Linked DNA regions of Drosophila melanogaster. The protein of the gene in region 1 interacts with the protein of each later gene in a pairwise test. Each region holds a gene or a part of one and is shown on either strand. Other genes may lie near its edges.

Region 1 (5,905 bases):
TACAAGCGAAGTGCCTGGTTTTCATTCCCAGTCACGCCAAATTGTCAGCAGCTAAGAATTTGGCATGAATACTGGAATATAGGGACAGAAGGACTCATCCAAAGGGCTGGAGACAGTACCAGCCTGGCGGCAGCTTCAATTTCATTAACTAAGTGGTCCATACCAATTAAGTTTTGTGCATTCTGGAATAATATAAATTAATTAGAATATGCTAATGAGGCTAGCCTCCGCGTGGCTATTACCGTGCAGAGTCAACTAAACTCGACTCGCCTCGCTGCGAGTCAATTGACTTGAATAAATTAGCGCTAGCGGATGCATGCTCAATTCCAGGACAGTTGGCTTTAACCGTCTGTTGACCCATTCAGTTGGCCATTGAAAAGTGCTTTCAGCGCCTTTCTCAAGGATTTTTCGTTTAAGTCATAGCTGTGCTCACAGATGTCTGGCCCAAAATGTTTTATCGAAGTTGTTTGATTGATATACATTTTATGAAATTTCAAGCCCATGTAGATTGCTCCTTTGGGGCAGTTCTAAGATATTGCCAGTAAACATTTACCTGCAATTGGCAGGCGAATGAAACTTGTTTGATCCGTGCAACATAATATGCTTTAGGGCCAAAAATTAGATTAAAACCCAAGATGGTGGACTATAATTAAAAAATGAAATTAAATATAAATTGAGTGTGTGATTACTTTAAGAATTTGATGGACTTTTAGCCAGAAAAACCCAAGTTTAAGCAAAATTTAATGAACGCCACGTGTTTGTACCTCAAAGAGAACAAAAGATCTGTCTCGGACTGCATTTCGTTCCTCAGACCGAATCGTTTTCAATCGAATGTCTCACTAAAGACATCATTTCGTTGTGGAAATGTGAAGATAAAGTCATTCAGAGTCGAAAATGGCAACGACTATTGCATAAATTCGTTCGAAGAGAGACCAAGAGAGTGAGCCACATCGTATTCTAATTCGATGGCAGCACACGCAGACAGGCAGGCATTCGACCTGGCCGAAGCCCCTGAAGCCCCCCAAGCTCCGTCCTCATCCTCGGATATCCAGGATTGTCTGCGCAACTGTCTGGAACACTGCACTCACATTGGCCATGGTCTTTGGGACTGAGAGGCAGCGGGCAGGTAGGTGGCCAGCCATTCCATCAGAGATTCAGACCAGGCCAAGTAGTAGGCGTCAATAAAGCCAAATTCACGTCTCGGTGGCCCCCTTCTCCACATTACCGTCGTATTCAACCAGATTTGGGGACAGGCAGACGAATTCATTTCGTCAGTTTTGCGAATCATCACTTATCCAATTTTTGTCCCACAGATATAGATTGGCCTGCACCCTCAATCGAGTCTCAACTAGAAGGTTGTACAGACAATAGAATCTCCTCTCGAAATGCAAACAATTAATGATTGTTTGATAGCCTTTAAGTTTTGGTTTAAATTGACAACCGTTACTCCCACTCCACAATCCTATCAAATACAATTTATCAACCATTTACCTCCATTGTTATGGCTTTCAAACTTTGAACTGTCATCTAGATAGGTTCAGCCTCTTGGGCTTTCAAAAACAATTGCTTAAATAATTATCACAATTAAATCGTTGTTTTCACATGACTGCACTTTTGAACTGAACCACATAATAGGATTAGCAAAACCTTTCTGGCATTTAGCCTAATCAGACAAATTAATCAGAAATCACCTGTTTGGAGTCCTTTGGACGTGTTGACTGGAGTTGGCATCACTTTTAATTATGGTCATTGAATTTCTAATTGTCCTTAATGGAGCGAAATTAATTTCGTATCGGAACATTACAGCAATCTGGTTTCATCCCACTCGACACAATTAAGGCGCACAATTTAATATCAAATATTTCTTCAAGACATTGGACAAGCCATAAAATTGTTAATTGTCATAAACGTGTGATGGGGAATATCTTAAATTAGAAGGGGACTTAAAGCTGTTAAGAGATACGAATGGGGTACATTATTACATAATTTTACTTAAAATTTCGATATATTTGTCCGTATACAATCTTTTATCATACACAGACACAAAAAAGACCTCCCGAATACTCAATGGCTAGCTTGATCCTGGCAGGGCAATGTGTGCGTTGTTCCTGTTTCCAACATCGTCATCATCCGAGTCCGTTAGCAGGTCGGATAGACTGAGATCCGAGGAGCGTTTCTCGAGGCCCTCCTCCACCAGTTGTCGCGTCGGAAGGTTGGCGGGCATGGCGTACGTCTTCATGCAAAGGATAACGTGCTCGCGAAAGAGTTGCTCCGAGTGTTTCATGATGGCGGCGGCCCGGTGATTCAGTGAGTCGTGCGGATTCGGGTAACGCAGCAGCTGTGGCAGAAAGGTTTCGAATATGTTGACCAGGTCATAGCTGGATGACCAAGCCTGCTTAAGGACATTCATGCAGACCAGGCCCGTGATGAACTCGATGTTTGGGTGCAGGATCTTGGTGACAAAGCGAACGCGCGGTGCCGTCAACGGATAGTCCTGCGGCATGGTCACATTTACCGTCCAAATGCCACCCTCGTAGGCACTGCCCAGTGGACCCTCGAGGCAAACATTCAGGTTGGTCATGTCGTCGTCCACGGTGGTGCGGTAGCCCGACGCCAACAGCCGGTTAACATCCCGGTCCAGACGGCGCCCCGCCATCGGCAACGTCGTGTTCACCAGCAATTGCTCGGCCATCTGTATTCTGGCGTTCTGTCCTGTGCCGCCACTGAATCGGATCTACTGGTATTTTGAGTGCACTCGTCTGCTACACAGAGGTACCTTCAAAACTATGCAGCTGGTGGATAGGTTAGTTAATCACCATACGTGAAGTTGTAAATAAGATTTTATGCTTACATAAAATCAATCCAGAATTTTGCTCCTTTTTCATTGAAATTTAATACAAATATGAATAAACCTACCGCCTACTCTAACCTACCAATCAAAATTAGATTACAAATTTTAAAAAGCTTTTCTTGCTGAAGTTAAATCGGATACTTAAGGATGACATTTAATATGATAAATAAAGAAAACCAATTTCAGGACCTTTGAACTTGTGTATTTAGCATTTTTGTAAAAAATGTTACAATGTTATTTTTTGGATATTGGTCAGCTGCCAATTTTCAAAAACGCCTAACCCAAATCGATAGCCTGTGAAAGTGAGAATTTATAGAGTTTTTTATTTCCTAGTTTTGTTTTCTTTCGGACTTGTCGCATTGCGTCTAAGCGGATTTTGGCTCTGGGCCGAGCATTCATTAATTGGGCGTGGGTCAGATAGTTGGGCGAAATATTTTGGCCGTAATGCCAACTGCTTGCAATTGGACACCGGGGAACCAGTCGAATGACCCAAGGCAATGACAATTGTGCACAAGAAGGATGAGCTGTGTCCTTGCAACCGAAATCACCCACTTCTATAAGTGGACATTGCAAGTTGAATGCTTTTCTGACTGCTGGCAATAAATCAAAGATCGTCTGCTGGCGTTTCCATAAAGGAAGCTGTGATAACTCCAATGGTAGAGCCAGAGTGCGAGTGCATTAAAGTTAAATGGACTCGGACTAAATGCTGCAAATTGCTGCCATAGCCAACAGTCATGGATACAAACACCCGTATCTAAGGGATTGCATATGTATCTGCGCATCTATATTTGTATCTCCATCTGTATCTGAATCTGTATTTGTGCATCTCCTACAATGGTCGGAGCTGAAACAATGGTAAATAACGACTAGAAAATTGTAAAAAATGTTGACAATGTTTCTCATGGCTTGCGAATCCTTTGGCCCGAAGCTTTATTTTTTAGTGCGACAGTAAATGCGTCACTCTTCCACACACCCCCCCCCCCCCGCATTTTAAACCACCCTCAGTCACATCTCTCCCTGTCTTTTTCAGTCTGGGTTTGGAATGCGCTTTGTTGCAGTTTTCACAGTTGAGTGCGCTCATTGTTTTCGCTGTCAGCGAGCGGCGCGTCGACAATGAATAATTAGAATTTTGTTGAAGGTCCATTGCTCATTTCCCGAACCCCTTAACCCCCCTTTAACAAAATCCATGGAATAAGCCCCGCCACTGTTTGCTGGGGCCAATTCATGCGACTTTTAATTTGCCAGCCATGGACAGCAAATCAAACAAAACCGATTTGGGATTACAATGAAAAAACGCTTTGAAACTCGGTTGAAATATCTCAAAAAGGAGTTGGACATCGCGTAACAAAAACGTCAATATTCAATATCTATTTTATCAGCTTAAAATTGAAATTTATTTGGATAACTTAATCTGGCAAATATAGAACCGAAGACGGTTTCACATTTCAAGAATATTTGTTTTAAATTTTGTACTTATGTATATTTGCAAATATAATAAAAAGGCAAAGCAATTAAAATCTGATTAAAAGATTCAATAAAAAGTGGAAGTTAGCTATACAAATCAATAAAAAAAGCTTAAATTCCTTTATCTAAAGTAAAGGAATTTCAATATATATACCCTTGGCATTAAAATTCCAGACTAGTTGGCCTGCCATCTCTCCCTTTTAAGTAGATATAAAGTAAATATAAACCAACTTTCGCATTGAATCCGCAGGCGAGCAAGCAAAAATGGAAGTAGCCACGCTTCAATGTGATTTTCGAGTGCATAAATAAAATCTCAAATAGATGCCATTAAGAGCTTTTTAGCCGCCATTAAAGCAATATGGGAGTCCCCGCCCCGACAACCAGTTTCAGACTATTATACGAAGAAATACGATTATCGCGTAAAATTAACGCGAAATTAATGCAAACTACACGCGGCAGCCCAAGGATGACTCTCAGAAAGTACCGGCCGGGGGGTAAAATGGGTGGGTTATCTCCTTGGCAAAGGCATTAAGGAGTAATCTCAACATGGGCGTTAATTTCGTGAATTGTAATCAACTGGGAGCGGGCACCGTAATGAAGCTGTTATGGCACCCAAGCATTGACCACGTCAAAGTCAACACTTCAACAAGTGAAAACAGCGAAACCCGACGAAAAAAAAATTCCTTTACTAGGCTCCAAAACAATGGCCTGGTTCAAACAGTTGGGAGCATAGTCCCTTTTTCTCTCCAGCTCCACCCAATCCACGAAATTTCAAACAATGGACCACCTAAAACAATGGCAAGCGACAAAAGGTAACCGCGAAAAGGATAACTCAAAAGCCAGAAACGTGGAGGACCAGAGTTCCAGCACCAGTCCAGAATCCGGACTCGTTCGGGCCAGAACAGGGCAAACCGCAACCGCAGGTCTAACCCGCTGGCATTTTGGCAACATTCCATAACTCAGCCCACCGCCGACCCGATGTCATCCCATGGTGGCGCCCCTGGAGGCATTCTTCACTTCCCCTGTGAAGGTAGTGAAATACACACAAATTTGTGAAATTAACTTGATAATTTTTAATTAAATTTCACAGCAGGAGTTAAAATGAACAACAAATTTTAGCCAATAAAGAAGGAATTAAATGGCATTTTCGTTGTCATCGATTACAAAGTTTGCATTTAATCGAATATAATATACGTTGATTTACGCCTTATTTTGGATTAGCAGGGATTGGTGTTTTTTGAATGCCGTGGCTTTTTGGTCTTAATTTCTAATGACAAAAGCTTTAATGCAAAGCACTAACGCATATTCACTAATTACATCATTAGAAGAAATTTGAAAAAAATTGTCTATGACTATGATAAAATAAATAAATAAGATGAAAAACAAAATTGAATTGTATTTCTTGATTTTAACTTATAAATAAAAAGAAGGAGTATTCATCATAAATAATTTTCCCCTCTTAATAATATGTACCTATATATTGTTACGAAATATTATTCATAATTTTCTTTAGCTAATAAATTAAAATTTTACAAGAAAAGAAGAACTACAAGGCAATTATTTAGACAAAAATGACGAAACTCAAGGGTG
Region 2 (6,251 bases), on another chromosome or scaffold:
ACCAACCAACAAGCAAAATAGATCACAGATATGTAAACACTTACTCATAAAACGTAAAGTTACAAATATAATGTCAGATAAGTGCGTATTATAACATTTTCTATAGCTGCATATGACGATGCCACTGTTGGCAATCGAATGTAAATACTTTTGAGCAGATTGCCAGCTAAGAATGAATTCAACCAAGTTGACAAGTTAATGCTCGGCATTTTGACGGTTTTCACTACGGCATCACCTGCTTCGGGCAAAAGCCAACGCCAATACCGCCCATCAAGCCACGAATATCGTGAATATTTAAAGGGCAGGCTTCAATATTTCAGCATCGCTCAACCTTGACAGCATTATGAACTGAGTGCGACTGCAAGTGGGTAGCGAGTGGGATGGTAGGTGGCAGGTTGCAGGCTGGTGGCTGGTGGCATGTGGCACAGTTGGGTGGCAGGTGGCAATATGAAACGCTTGGATGGCGCAGAGCAGTGCAGCGTCGGATGCTGGAGTCAAACCAGGCGTGTAACCGAGGCAATGGAGGCGATACTCCTTCCACGTACTCAATTTGGCCCCTTGGGTGCGACTGCTGGTGCAACTGTCAAATCTTTCATGAAGATATAACCAAAGACCCTAGAATAACAAGATGCGTAACGCCATACGATTTTTTGGCACACGATTTTTTGGCCGTGGCTCTAGAGGTGGCTCCAGGCTCTCTCGAATTTTTGGTAGAGAGCGAGAGAGCGAAGAGCGCTACAGCGAACAGCTCTTTTCAACGCACAAAGTGATAGCAGACATCTGTATGTGTGCACACGTATTCACATGCATTGTAAATTTGAAAAAATATGCCCTTCACCTTAGAAGTTCTTTGGCTTTAAATCTATATTATTTTTGATCAATTGGCACCATGCGAAAAATTCTTGTTTTGCATTGCCTTAACGTTATTATTATTTGAAAATAGATTAGAAATACTCAAATCTATGTACATATTATCACAAAAATAAATTTCAAAAATGACTTTATATAAGAATATTTGTCATTAGAGTATTCATCTTGCGGCGTGTGAAAAATTAATAAGGTAATGATTGTTGAGTGCTTGTGTCCGCACTTCGTGCCTCAAGATATGAACAAAGCAAAGACACTAGAATAATTCTATTGTCTTTGATATTACTTTTGCAATTTCATTTAATTGCATATTTAATTATTTAGTATATTTATTAAATCATTTGACTTAATATGATGTAACATTAACATTAAAAGTGTTTCAAAAAAAATATTTAGCTTTTAAAAAATTGTCAGATGAGAGAAAAATTAGAATTAAACATAAATATAAATGTGTAAACGGTAGCTAATTCGAGCGGCAATTTTAACAAACAAATTTAAAAAGCTTTAAAATTATAATAGTCAGGGCGCGAATTTTAAAAAATTTTTTTATTTTATCATATTGCTAGGAAATTGGCAAAAACTACCCTAATATGTACCATGTAAATTCGTTTCTTCGATCAGAATTGATTTCGGCCCGAAAATCGTCTTCTAGCACAACACGCACACTTATACGCGTTCTCGTCTCTTGTTTTTACTCACACAAGCAAGCAAATTATATTTTTAGGTTTCTTACGCTCTCAGCGGGAGTGAGCGGAAAGAGAGTAATTTTGGCCGTCACCAAAAAAGTGGCTGCATAGTGCCAAACCAATGTATGGCCGTTACGCATCTTGTTATTCTAGTGTCTTTGATATAACTCACTGCCGGTCCAATGAGTCGTCGTCTCATTGTGAACCGGATCCGGATGTGGATACAGCTATGGCCACGTTGACAAAATTGGGCTGCAACGCATCTCAAAACGAATGGTAAGCTTACCCACCCATTGTTGGCCAAAAACAGCACGTAATGGTGTATTAATTAAACTTCGACCCTTCGCCCTTATCGCTTTTTGGCAATGCCATGACACAAGTGTGGAAAATTGCTGTGTTTCACATACATAAGTTCAATGAGTAAGCAAAATGCCTCTAAATACGAAAAGCATATATTGAATGACCAAAAAGCAGCTGAAAAGATTACCCATCGAATTCTGAAGACTTATTTTATTACATGGTTGCTGTGTAAAAGTTTTCGCTTTGTGTGGCTATGCAGTGGTAAAAATTTACTTCTTTTCGGATGTCAGCATACTATCTTGGTTTCATTTCGATTCTGAAGAGCTGGAGAGCAGAAGTCATTGCTCCAGGACGAGGTTAGCTATCAATCAGGGTTTAAGAATTAAAGTCGTCGTGGGGAAACCGGGGTAAAACTCGCTGCTCGACAATCATTTACCGAACAGCTTTTGGCTTTCACTTTTCACACATACCGCAATTAATTTCCGTTTGATTGTTTGTCTCTGTCCGGACTCCACATTCAAAGCCCCACCCGGAATCCTATTTGCTTTCCACACGGCGAATGCGATTTAATTGCTTTGGGACCCCTGCTCCCGCGACTTAAACTCAGCTCTGGTGCTTTTACTTTGCTTTTCCTCTCGCCCACACCCGCACTTTTCCCACACTTTTCCCACACTTTTCCCATACTTTTCCTGCACTTTTCCCGCATTGCACCTGCAATCGTAAATAAAGAGCTAAGCGTGAACATGAAGGTGAGGAATTGCAGCTGCAAATCGGAAGAGGAGGAGGCTGCCGTGTCAACAACTTTGCCGTGAAAGTTTTATTTGTTCAGTTCATTTGGTGCTGCTGGCAGAAGCAAAACATTATATGGCACATTCATAAACACCCGTGTTGCCGGGCGATGTCAAAAAATTGTGAATGGTATGGGGATTTTCTGAGGAAAACACTAAAAAAAAAAATCCTTGAAAACTTTGTTTGCCTTTTTGCACTTAAATAGTACACTTACTGCACTTACTTTAAAGTCTAACTTAGAATGTGCAGTGTCATGAATTAATGAAATAGCCATAAGAATTATTAATTTACCAAAATCTTGAATATTCGCGATATTTGTGTCTCTCATTTCATCGTCGAAACAAAATGTACCAGCTGGCTTTGAAAAGAATGCCAGATTAATGTCATGGCTCATTTCATAAGTTAAAATCATCTAGGTAGTCAACACACACAATCGACACAAAATACACACACACCGTTTAAACAAAAGTGAAAAAAAATAGAGGAAAATCGAAAAAAAAAAGAATCAAACAGCGAAACAAAAATCATAACTTGGTATTGTATCTAGCTAATTAGAGAGTTGCACTAGAATCGCGTGCGACTTGAACGTCGAGAAGTGTATAACAGATCCCTAAGCAGCACATCACTGCACCAGAGTCTCATTGGATCGCACCGAGCAAAGTACAAAATTCGTAGGTTCAAAGTTCAAAGTTTACGGTTTCCGAAGGACTAACCGAGAATCCAACCACGGACCATCCCGTCCAGAAGGCCAAAGGTAGCAACCAGCAACGAAGCTTCAGTATTGAGCCACTTTGATAACTGCTTCCAATCCGATTTCTTTTCCACTTTTGATAGTTTTATATTCAGGTGAGTTAATTATCACTTATAATATAAGTATTGTTGTTAAATATATATAAGAAATACTTTTCGGCTTACTAGATCCAAATAATTATAAATACACTCAGTTAATTGGCTGCATTCGATATTTGCCTCATAGATATCCCGAACCGCTGCCCTTCCAGGATGGTCATCAATCTGAATCCGTCCACCTCTTCGAACGCCAATGCCAGCGGTAGCAGCGTGGGTGGCGGCAGCGGTGGCGGCAGCGACGGTGGCAACGGCGATGGAATGAGCAGCGCTGGGAGCCAGAGCGGCAACATCATTGGCGGAAACGGAAGCGGAAGCGGAAACGGTAACGGTAACGGTGATGGTAACGGTAGTGGCAACACCGCCGGAAACGTCAGTAGCGGCACCCCCAGCAACCTGATGGGCATCATCAGCCATGAGATGTTCGATGGTATCGTCTATCTGCATGTGGTATGTGCCGGTGAGTCAAGCTCCAAGTGGGTCACTCTGGAGGAGGCGATGGCCTACTGTCCCAGCGGCGTTGTTGCCTACACCAAACTGCAGCTGGCCGAGATTTATGGCATACCGATGGACGTTCTGTTCGACTGATGGTGATGCATAAACCAGATTCTTCGTTGAAGCGATTGCAGTGTACCGCACATGGACGATGGTTTTGATGGATTCTTGATTAGCTCCGTTTGGCTTGTACGGTTTATAAGCTGGACCATGGCAACTGTCATTTGAACTTTGGCACTGTTGGCAAAATCTAGGAATTCAGTATTCGCCAAATACGTGGCATTGGCAATATAACGTCGATTGTTTTTTCTTGCTACATTCCCTGCTCTAAATTTTAAGTTCCTGGCGTTAAGTGATTTTTCCGAAGGCAGCAATTACTAGAAATAGTATACGAATCTGCAAGGTTATTCCGTAATTAATTGCAAAAAATAAAAAAAAATAATAATAAAATAAAGGAAATTTATAAAGAAATCTCTATGGACAGTATGGGTGCCATTTACCTTGGTCACTGGCCGCTTCACGTGCCCCTGTGGCATTTGTCAGTCGACTCGGAATGCGGGGGTGGAAGATGAATGGACTGAGCGGAAGTTTAAGGAGCCTTTGCCACGCAGACACCACACGGCGTATGCGTAATGCGGCCAGCCCACAGAATTTGGGCATTTCAATTGCAAATTAGCCAAAAGCCAACGTCAACGGTCACCACGCCCACACCGACAGCCGCCCCCTTTTGAAGTGCGTCTCGACTTTTCTTTACCATTATTTTTCCCTCTTCTGCGAGTGTGTGTGTGTGCGTGGCAATTTGAATGATTTATGTTGATTGCGTATAATTGCATGTTGTGTCCTTGTCCGCCCCTTTGTGCCCAGGTGCGTTTGCCGGCCACGTGACAAATTCAAATCCCCGTCACCGCTTTACACTCCCTTTTCGCTCGCTTGGTCGGTCGGTCGGTTGGTTGGTTGGTTGGTTGGTTGGTCTTGTCTCGGCTTTTCCATTTCCCATTTCCGCCCCACCACTTTGCCGCTATTCCTAACCTCAGACATTCTGCGGCGCATTGTTGTTGCCGCTTTTATGACGCTCCATCTGTCAGCGGCTTGTTGGTTGTTCAGTTGGCTGGCTGGCTGGCTGGTGACACCGTGCCAGGACACGGCAAGGAGCTGGGGCATGGATAAACAGGACCCATATCCAGGCTGGCTGCTTATCTAATTACGCGCCCAAAAGCACGCAACACAAAAATGCCAAGCAAGTCGAGCGAGGCAACGACGACGACCAACTTGTCTTTTGCGGCACGACGCTTCATTTTTCTAATGCCATTCGCTGGCGGCGGGAATCGGTGGAAAAGCGGAAAATGCGGTGGGTCAGGATCTGTGTGTGGAGCATGGCTGACTTTTGCCAAATGGCAGGCGCTCGCGCATTTATTTCGCTTGTAAACGAGCGCAATTTGCAATTTGAGCGCGTCCGCCTCGCGTGTACCTTCCCTACTTTCTCCCTTGCTTTTATAGCAAAAAAAAAACCAACAATAAAAAAAAAATACAGCCTAAGAGAGGAGTGTACTGTCCGCCCCCTCAGCCATTTGCAATTGAATATTTATTTGCATTGCCATGGGCTTCGTGTCGGGTGTGGCGCAACTAAAAAATTATTACGCATACGCAGCGTTGCCAGCGGGGGAGAAACTATAGCGAATCAAATCGTATGAAAGGTATCTACCTAAGTGTGACCAAAGTGTTTTGGTGCTTTCAAAAATAATTTCGAAGGTTCGCAGGGAATCGTTTTGATTTGAATTAGCAGGAGCCTTAAATGTGCTACAACTACCTTTTTACATCAACTAATTACATTCGTGTAATTATTTTCTCCGTTAAGGCAAACAGTTAAGTGACAACTTTTCACAGCCTGGCCACACTAATTTTGCAAAACTATTGTACAATTGATTCCTTCAATTGCCTGTATGTTGTACATTATCCAAAGTTGTAATTAAATGTGAATGCTTTTTCCAGCTATTCGTTTGCTGATCACACTTTGCAACGAATGCAACGTAATTGTTTCTCCCGAAACTTCCTGTGCCCTGGTCACACCAATTACGTGTCATCCGGCAGCTGGAAATTAGAGGCCAGTTGGAAGTGATGCAGCACCACCACTAAGCCACCCACCCGATGGCCGATGCAAAAGGCAAGCTAATAAAATGTACTTTATGCCCGAACGTGCGTTGACTGTAAAATCGGACTGGCAGCAAAAAGGGAGAAAGTGGAGAAAGGGGAGAAAGGGAAGAAAGGGCC

What was found. The genes of interacting proteins can lie anywhere in the genome.
Region 2: the proteins of CG14739 (region 1) and CG9106 interact in a two-hybrid assay, tested with the Drosophila melanogaster proteins (one large-scale study listed by BioGRID).

Annotation. Positions count from the first base shown.
Region 1 is NT_033777.3:12,046,281-12,052,185, forward strand, and holds CG14739 (uncharacterized protein), read right to left. Parts: upstream 2,934-5,905; 5' UTR 2,852-2,933; intron 2,793-2,851; 5' UTR 2,693-2,792; coding exon 2,072-2,692; 3' UTR 1,973-2,071; downstream 1-1,972.
Region 2 is NC_004354.4:15,269,224-15,275,474, reverse strand, and holds CG9106 (uncharacterized protein), read left to right. Parts: upstream 1-3,069; 5' UTR 3,070-3,488; intron 3,489-3,560; 5' UTR 3,561-3,644; coding exon 3,645-4,076; 3' UTR 4,077-4,439; downstream 4,440-6,251.